Saccharomyces cerevisiae S288C: one gene and its partners. Changing the gene in region 2 together with the main gene of any one other region gives a genetic interaction. Each region holds a gene or a part of one and is shown on either strand. Other genes may lie near its edges.

Evidence for each region.
Region 1: mutations in YLL053C (region 2) and CIS1 together harm fitness more than expected from each alone (negative genetic interaction), as found in Saccharomyces cerevisiae (one large-scale study listed by BioGRID).
Region 3: mutations in YLL053C (region 2) and YML020W together harm fitness more than expected from each alone (negative genetic interaction), as found in Saccharomyces cerevisiae (one large-scale study listed by BioGRID).

Annotation. Positions count from the first base shown.
Region 1 is NC_001144.5:821,624-824,592, forward strand, and holds CIS1 (Cis1p), read right to left. Parts: upstream 970-2,969; coding exon 664-969; downstream 1-663. Other genes in the region: YLR345W (bifunctional fructose-2,6-bisphosphate 2-phosphatase/6-phosphofructo-2-kinase), read left to right, coding at 1-417; KAP95 (karyopherin beta), read right to left, coding at 2,205-2,969. UniProt on the Saccharomyces cerevisiae protein: Mitochondrial protein that is involved in citrinin resistance.
Region 2 is NC_001144.5:34,964-38,085, forward strand, and holds YLL053C (uncharacterized protein), read right to left. Parts: upstream 999-3,122; coding exon 540-998; downstream 1-539. Other genes in the region: YLL054C (uncharacterized protein), read right to left, coding at 1-241; AQY2 (Aqy2p), read right to left, coding at 949-1,398; FRE6 (putative ferric-chelate reductase), read right to left, coding at 2,370-3,122.
Region 3 is NC_001145.3:229,408-233,170, reverse strand, and holds YML020W (uncharacterized protein), read right to left. Parts: upstream 2,023-3,763; coding exon 28-2,022; downstream 1-27. Other genes in the region: UNG1 (uracil-DNA glycosylase), read left to right, coding at 2,358-3,437; adenine phosphoribosyltransferase APT1, read right to left, coding at 3,671-3,763.

The DNA of each region.
Region 1 (2,969 bases), 790 kb from region 2:
CACGATACTGCACTCTTTTTTTCAAAAGAAGGTATTAAAGTTCAGCAACGGTCAGAGTTGAGACAGTTGAACCCAGGAAGTATTGCTGATCTTACTGATCAACAGATAATGGACAAATTTCCATCAGAATATAAAGAATCATTAAAAGACCCATATCATTTTCGATTCCCTAGGGCGGAATCTTACCATGACTTAGCCGTTCGTATGGAACCTTTACTATTAGAAATGGAGCATACGAGCAAGGACATTCTCATCATTGCACATGAGTCAACATTAAGAGTATTATATGGCTATTTAATGGCTTGCACCTGCGTAGAGTTACCAAATCTAAATTTCACAAGAGACAAATTAGTTGAAATTTCATTCAGCCCTTTCTGTAATACTGTAGAGTTACTGAACATTCCTTTAACTAGCTAATATACTGGAGTTGCATCGTTGATGTGTATTATCTATATTCAAAATAGTTATTTTTATGTTTAAGAAAGGATTAAGAACAATTGAAAAAAAATTACCATTAGCAACGAATATTAAATTGTAAATTATTTAGAGATATTTTTCTATAATATGCTCGCCTACCATTCTCTTTTATACAATATTTAGGTTTTACCTGGAGGCTAAAATGATATGAGGGGACGATAGCTTAACATGATTGTGACACAAACTTTAAAAAAGGCTTTCAGTTGAAGAGTTTTCTTCCGCTATAGTCTCCAATGCTATCTTACTTTTCTTATTACGTTTATGTCTACCTTTCATATCATTTCTTGTAAGCAACTCCTGCATTTCCGCTTCCTGGGCAGCCTTGAGTAAATCATATCTGGTAATTTTATCAGGTTTATTGCTCACATATCTGCCTGAACCAACAACGTTGATATATTTCCATGGACATGCTACCCACTCTGCAATAGTGGAAGCTGAATTGATTGTGTTTTTTGAAACTAACCCGATGGGACAATTACTGATCGATTGCATTATTAAAGGTGATAAATAATCCTTTGTTATTTGTGCCCCTTAAAATTCATATACACTTTATGTTTAATTCGACAGGTATAACAGAAAGAAACAAGGAAAACAATGCAATTAATCATTAACTGCACCAACTTTTATATGAATATATTGTGCTACATGTCTTAATTAGTCCTCTGTGAATGAGCATCACAAAGAATCACGAGGAAAAGATTGATTACTTAATATTGATAGGAATCAGCCGCGGAAATGGAAATCTTGGTAATATAATTTTAATGCGGCACGCTGAAAATTGATGGCGGCCTGCTAGGAGCCCTATTGATTCCGCGGAAATAGGCGGATTATTACAAACGTTGAGCATTCAGCAGGTGCGGCTGTGCCTTTTCACTTTCAGCTAAGATGTTTGCAAGCAAGAATTAACAGATAAGCCGCTTCGCTAGTAACGCAACTCATTGTGTTTTTAATGGAAGCTAAGGATGGTTGAAATTATGGGTACCCTGAGATAAGATTATTAACTATGATGTAAGTATTAATCATTATAATAAGGGGTACCTGCTCATTCGCATTACCATACATTGACTATTAACGAGCAGAAAGTTTTTGGAAGTTTTGCAGATGAAGTGCATGTTTGATAATTTGAATATGCGGATTTCCTTATTCAAAACTTTCTTTATGCATAGAGCTAATTAGGTTTGAGTTAAGGAAAAAAATCTATCATAAGTGTCTTGAGGTATTTACTATAATGTATACGGGAAATATTAGGTGTGATAGGCTCTAGGAACGAATATTAATATTGGGGGGGGGAAACTGGAATGAAATTAAACAAAAGCAAAAAAATCTAAAAGAAGAAAAAAAGGAGAGAGAGAGAGAGAGAGAGAGAGAGAGAGAGAGAGAGAGAGAGAGAGAGAGAGAGAGAGAGATGAGGGTTATTGATAATATAATATAATAATAAAAGAGAAGATAGTAGAAAAGGAAGAAAGAAAAAAAAAAATTAAGATGTACTTTAATAAAAAGAGGGAAATTCTAAAAAGTGCGACTGGAATTAGAAGAATGCAGGTATTTTGTTTTCTCTCCTATGACGGAGAAGGTAACAAAATCATAAAGGTAAAATAACAAATTAATTATGATCAAAGAGAAATGCCCTTTGTAAACCGTGGTTTGTAAATGCGTTGGTAACTGCAGCAGATGTTAAGAAACAAAGATGGAAAAGAACCAAAATCAGCTTGTAAGTTCTATCGTAATTATAAGGATAATTGACGCTTCTGTTGCTCTCTAGCCCATCTTGCTGTATCTTTTGTGGCTTGACTGAACAATTGGCCACTCCTAGTTCTTTTAATGTAATCAATAACCCAGTCTTGTCCATAAAATTGTTTGATTGAGCCGTCTGGAAACATCGCTGCTATATCACCAATCAATCCGACTGCTGCTCTTGAGGTAGCATCCTCACTGTACAGCTGAGGATCTTCTGCAACTTGTGCAATGAACTGGAATATAGTACCAACATAAGGGAACAGAGCTTCAGGTTTATCATGAAGACCCGCTACTATACCCACATAAGCATCTAGTACTGCTTCTAGTACTTTTATTTGATAATCAAGGGCTTCTAATGTGCCGTTTTCCGGCTTCGTGTTTTGGGCAGCAACACACAACGCCATGATGTCATTCAAGTAGGGAATAAAATCAGCACCTATATTGGAAGCAATATCACCGAACACGCTCAAGACGGCTGGTTTCAACTCTCTCCTTGCATTTGGATTAGAGATCATTTGAGCCAAGACATTCATCATAGCATCGGAATATCTTCTGAAATCTTCTTCTAACGAATTTGAAATATCAGCGATGAAGCCCACTGCGGTGATTGAAACTGGCGAATCTACTTGATTTAAAGCCTTTAATAAATAGGGAGAAAATGTTTCCAGGTATTTCTCAAATCCTTTACCCAAAGAAGCAGCTAGAGCTGAAATAGCATAAAACACATCGTCTTCAATAAACGCAGAGTCCTTTTT
Region 2 (3,122 bases):
AAGTAAAGGAACCACTTGCGGACATCGATGCAGGAGTAATGTTTCTAATGTCTCTATGTGGGGCATTTTCGATAGTGGGAGATTTGTTAATCCGTCCTGGTTCCACTTCGTAGCTACAAATCGAGGATGAGGCCTTGCATTTGGAGCAAGTAGGCCAAAGTTTATCACATTTGATTTTCCTTTGCTTACACCGCAAGCAAACAAACGATGGCTTAACCTTTTTCTGAGATGCAATGCTCATATCCAGTGCAGTACACTTATCTTGTCATAGATTTCTGATGGGTAAATAATTACTTCACATCATCTTTGTTTCCAAAGTTTGGCCTCAATGTTGCCTTTAGGAGGAAAAAATGTGAAGAATGCATACTTCTGCCGCTTACGTAAAAACAGAACTCTGACCAGAAGAGATAAAAACAAAAAAAAAATAAAGGACAGTAAATATGAAAAATAAGATATTATTATATTAAATTAAATTAAATTAAATTAAACTACGATGGGAGCGTTATGCCAAAAAAGATAAAATTCTGAGCAGACTACTCTCAGTCTTCCTTCTTTTGACCTGCCGCCTTTTCGGCATTAACGTATGTAGTGTAATCAAGGATTTGTAATAATTGCCACACTGACCAGGCTAAGAAGGCACCCAAAAGTGGGCTAATCCAGTAGATCCAGTGGTAATGAGGGAAATATCTGGCAGCAACGGCGGCACCCAGAGATCTTGCAGGGTTGACACCGGTACCAGTGTAACCGGTCAAAGCCATGTGAGCCATGAATAAAGAAATACCAATTGGAAGCGCAGCCATAAAGTTAGTTTCACGTTTTTCAACAGCAGTCATCAAAACTGTTAAACACAACACAGCAGTACCAAACATTTCCAAAAACAACCCCCTAGATCTGGAACAGCCTAAACCCAAAGCATTAGTAAAGAGAACCTTGCCTGGAGTCATAGCACTAGCGGCACCACCAGCAGCCATCCCAGCAATGATCTGAGGAAACCACATCACTACACATCTGGCTGGTGAGATGGCTCTGGCCAAACACAAAGAGAGAGAAACGGCTGGGTTCAAAGCCCCACCAGAAACACCAGATAGAAAACATCACAGAGAAACCGAAACCAAGGGCAATCATGATCAATTGACCTGGATGAGAGCCCTCAGGCTCGGTTGTCAAAGCCACATCATGGTTAGCGACATTACAAATGACGTAAGCACACCATAAAAACATGAAGGTACCGCAAAACTCACCCACAGCAGCGATAAAGTGGTTTCTTAAGGTATCTCTGTCAATATTAAAACGCGAATGCTTCGTTTCCGGCTGTTCAGGTGGAATATAAGCATTGTCAACACCGGTCGGGTCCAAGTGCGAAATGTTTTTTTCAAGGTCGTTAGATTCGTTAGACATAGTATAACTAAGGTAGGCTAGTGTCGCTTTTGAATATTTTCAGGAATTGTAATAGCCAGGAACAAGAAAAAAGACATGCGCACACTAATAAGCTACTAAAACCAACATATTTATACTATCAACCGAGAGAGGGGCAGATATGATTCACGATAAAAAGTTAATAAAAGGATAACAGCGGCGCTCTAATTCGTTAATGAAAGCCATAGTCCGGTATGGACAAAAACTATTTCCTTCTTTTTTTTTTTTAGGTTTTTTTTTAATTTGCACTTGCAATAATCTAATTCACTGTAGGAGTTTAAAGAAAAACATCTAGAAGGATTGGAGGAGGTAAGTCATTATTATGGCGGTGCTCTTTTAGCGGGAAAAAAAAAAATACACCTACGACGTTAAAACAGATCGTGCTGTCGTCTCAGCGGCAGTAAAAGTACTGTAGTAGTTACGGTGCACGCAGATGCAATGCTAATTAAATAATCATGCTCCCATTTTTAAGAAGCAGAAAAAGGCCGCAGTAATTTGAGCCGTGAAAAGATTTCGGAGGGTTGATTCTTAACATTTTCCAAAAAAATGTCCTTTGGTCTGTTTGCTTGGGTCTGAAAAGAAGGACTGCAGCGCCACCTCCACTGGTTAAGGACAAAATCCATACTTATTCCATCTTTCTCGGGACATATTTTCCTGAGACAAAAGACCGTAGAACTTCAAAGACTCGTTCCCAGAAAGGGATTTAGAGTTAATTTTTGCTCGGCATCAAGCCGGAAAAATTCAGGCGCCGCTTAGTAATTAATTGCAAGTAAAGAAGTACCGGATTTATTAGACATCGTCTTAGCAAGCAAATTCCTGAAAGCTAAAACGCAAATAATTAACTAAAAATAGTTGCTAAAGAGCACCTTTTATGCGGTACATAAAAGTTTTTAGTGCCGTAGATATATGTAGATATAGGTGGGCGTAGGATCAGAAGGAGCCGGAGAGAAGATTTACCAACACTGATATTCCTCGAAATACTCTATAATTCTCTCTGGGTAACCGAGGAGTTTTTGAGAAACGGTGTTTCTAACATCGTCCACCAGAACAGGAGGGCCGCAGCACACGACCGCTAATGAATCTCCAGGCGGCGTACTTTTTATTGCGTTTTCAATTACATTGCTAAAATTAGGTCTTGCATTGCCGATGTGGGCGAAGCTTGTCAGTTCGGTCATTATATCATCAAAATGTATTAATTGGTCTCGTGCGTTTGCTGCCTTTGTAACAGCTGTTTTCTGTGTAAGGTAAACCTGCACGTTGACGTGGGATCGGCTATTTTTTAGCTCTAGTATCTCGGATTTATAGCCGTTAAGAAAAGAAGGATTTTTGATCGCCATGATCAAATCTATACTCTTGGGTTTATCAGGGTTTCGTGACAGCTTAATGGCATGATCTAATGGACCAGGCAAGCCTGTTCCTCCACTTAGTAACAGCAAATGGTCGAATTTATCGAGGTGAAGATTACTGGGCCCATAAGGTCCCTCAATGGCCACTCGGAGTTGTAATTTACCATTTAAAGATTGCAAAATATGGTTATAAATGAATCTAGTGAGACCACTTTTAGGTTTGATCACTAAAACACACTTCTCACCTTCGTCGATAATGGTAAATGGATGGCATTGCCAAAATACCAATGGATGTAAAAAATAAATGAAACAATATTGACCCGGTTTCGAATGCCATCTCCGGTTATATTTGGGTATGAT
Region 3 (3,763 bases), on a different chromosome or scaffold from region 2:
CTGGTATCATGCTGGATGTATTTTTTATCAGAGTCGATATTTCAAACCATTAAGCCTGTTTTTTATGTCCTTCAATTGCTTTGTCTCAGGCTCCCATTCCTCAAATTCCTTAAACAACATCTTGATTTCTTCATTACTGAAATGCTTGTTGGACTCGTACATCAATCCCCTCATACACCATGGCAGACGATAGGGGTTGGCTCCTAACTCAGACAATTTATATGGTGAGTACTCAATTGGATACATTTCGGACAAATCGGTTGTTTCTAATGCAAATTTGATGCCCAGATGGTAGACCTGTTTCTCATTATAAATGGTAGAGTGACCACCTCCTGTCAGGGTGCCCGCCAGAGATCCGCTTATTTCCTTTATGATTCCGTGATCGTTATAACCCAGGTTTAAGAGTGAACCAGCAATTTTAACTATGCGAGTGATAAATGCTGGAGTTTGTGATCCTCTATCAATAAAAATGGCCCGAAATATATTGGGATGGTTGGCAAAAAGACATGTGGATGAATACAGAGGGACCAGTTGATCATTGATGGATCCCACAAATGTAATCTTAACGTTATTTGATATGATTGTTCTTAGGCCTTCTATGAAGCTTTGCGATTGTTTGGAATCAAACTTTTGAAACTCGAATAACTCCCTCAATGAGTCTTTTTCAATCGTCTGGTAAGCACGAACAAACAAAGTTTGATCTGCACCGTAGAATGGACCATTATTGATACCTGCCATGGCCAAGACCGAGATAATTTTTTTGGACGAACAAAACTGAATTTCATCGTTGAAAAATTGAGAATTATCAAGGTTTATTATGCCGTTTTTGATCAGCTTCGCTAAAAGCATAATGGTTACCGGACACCCCTGCGAATGGCTAACAAAATAAATAAAATCAGAATTGTTTATTTCTTTGCTCCAATGCTTCATAACTTCGTAGAAGAAATCTACTCTATCAAATATCTCTCCTTCTCTTTCAAGAGCGATCTTGCTTATTTCAATGGGTACTTTATGTTGATCAAAATATTCCTTCACTATTTCCTCAGCTTCTGTGACAAACTTGGTAGATGTACCCGTTGGCTCACCAATAAACGGTCTAATAATTTTTGTTGGAAAGAACCCATGAACGCCGACAATGAGAACTCTGATGGGCCTAGATTGGTAATCTGATAGAAGGTTTATTTTTTTCCATGGATCAACCCTAAATAGAGATCCTCTGTTGTGTTCCAACCGCTCCTCATCTTTTGCCTCGTTTGCAACTGTGTTTGTTTCCTCTTTTAACTGATTTTGTGAGTGCTGCACCTGTTCTTCCCCCTCTCGTACCCTTGATGAAGGTCTTCTATCCCAGTATTCAGTCTTCCACTTCCAAATTGTGGATGTGACTGTATTCCATATGGTTTGTTTCGGTAAAATATCGAAACTTGGTACAACAATGTTAGGAAACTGATTGCCTATGTCATCTGTTAATTTCTTAGCAGTTTTGACACCTTTATCTCTGATCAATATAGCATCAGGTTTATAAGGTATGTAAGTGTTGGTTAGAGGAGCCGGATTTAGACTATTTGCTAAACGTGATAAAGTGTTATTATCCGCATCAGTGGGAATGTTATGCGTCGGCTCCGGATCTTTTTTGTTACGGCCCCAAAAGAATGGCCATGCTCGTGGTCTTGTGTTTTTTTCTACTATAGCTGCATTTCTGTCTTTTTTGTCCTTCTCACCCTTCTCGATCCTGGTGGTTTCCTTTAAAATCGTTGTTTGTTGATTATCGTGCAAGCGTGTTCCCTCATTTGAAACATTGTCATTTTCTTGACTGTTGTCTTGGGCGGTTTCCTTTCCTTTATTTTTATTAGATAACTCCGGTTCTTCCTCGTCATTACCTCCCCATATAGACCAGGATTTGGTTGTTCTGTGCTTAGGCTCACTAGGCCCCATACGACCAGACTGAGTATGTACTGAGCGCAGTGAGGTCGTTGAAGATTTCAGACTGCTTTTCGGCGAGGAATGCAATGGAGTCGTGACCATTCTACCTACTGGTACTCTGTATATAAGTCTCTTCCAATTCTTCGTAATGGTGTCTATTTGTAGTGCAAAAGTGCTATCCAAGAGCAGTGATAAGCCCACTATATGTATAAAGCCGAATCTAGTGACTGGTGGGAATAAAAAAGATAGTTTTCGAACTATTCTTATATGAACTTTCCATGGAATTACCTCACGTTGTTCACATTAGTGACTTGTAAAAAGCTTTACATATAAACTCAATATTTTCCCTATTGTCAAAACCTGGAATGTGTCCGCAACGCGTAATTCATCCATAATGATATATATTATCAGAAGCTGTACACAAGCCGTTCACATACATGTGGTGCATGAGAAGATTGCCAACAAATTCAGTTATGACGGTGGCTCGAAAGAGAAAGCAAACTACGATCGAAGACTTCTTTGGTACAAAGAAAAGCACTAATGAGGCGCCCAATAAGAAAGGTAAATCGGGCGCTACTTTCATGACCATAACAAATGGCGCAGCTATCAAGACAGAGACAAAGGCGGTCGCAAAGGAGGCAAACACGGACAAATATCCTGCTAATTCAAATGCAAAAGATGTATATTCGAAGAACTTGAGCAGCAATTTACGTACACTACTGTCGCTGGAGCTAGAAACGATTGATGATTCGTGGTTTCCACATTTAATGGATGAATTTAAAAAGCCATATTTTGTAAAGTTGAAACAGTTTGTCACTAAAGAGCAAGCTGATCATACAGTATTTCCGCCTGCAAAGGATATTTACTCATGGACCAGGCTAACGCCTTTTAATAAAGTTAAAGTCGTGATTATCGGTCAAGATCCCTACCACAACTTTAATCAGGCGCATGGCTTGGCTTTTAGCGTCAAACCCCCTACACCAGCACCACCGTCATTAAAGAACATATATAAGGAACTGAAGCAAGAGTATCCTGATTTTGTTGAAGATAATAAAGTGGGAGATTTAACTCACTGGGCTTCACAAGGGGTTTTATTGCTTAATACCTCGTTAACTGTAAGAGCACATAATGCAAACTCGCATTCTAAGCATGGTTGGGAAACTTTTACAAAAAGGGTAGTTCAGTTGTTGATCCAGGACAGAGAGGCCGACGGTAAGAGTTTAGTATTCCTCTTATGGGGGAACAATGCTATCAAATTAGTAGAGTCTCTGTTGGGATCTACTTCCGTTGGAAGCGGTAGTAAGTACCCTAATATCATGGTGATGAAGTCAGTGCATCCGTCTCCATTAAGTGCAAGTAGAGGATTTTTTGGTACCAACCATTTCAAAATGATAAACGATTGGCTATACAATACCCGCGGAGAGAAAATGATAGACTGGAGTGTTGTTCCTGGAACGTCATTAAGAGAAGTTCAGGAGGCAAATGCTCGCTTAGAGTCAGAATCAAAGGACCCTTGAATATTACTATTGCATATGCAGGTCTCGATTTCCAAACTCTTTAAAAGCATATAATAGATAAAAAACTAAATAGACTACTTTGTGGCACAAAGCAGAAAAGTGGATTGAATATTTTTCAATCTAAAAAGTAAATATTATACAACCAAATTGAGAGAGTAAGGAGAAGTAAGAAAAATAAATTGCTTGAAACCGGCAGAAAGGAAGCTTGAATATGGGTCAGGACGTGAAACATATCATTTTTTCAACGCTTCCTTTTGAGCGTTCAGTAAAGTGAACACTGGAGCATTCAACTTACTCCTGCCTTTCAAGAAATCCAACTCCATAAC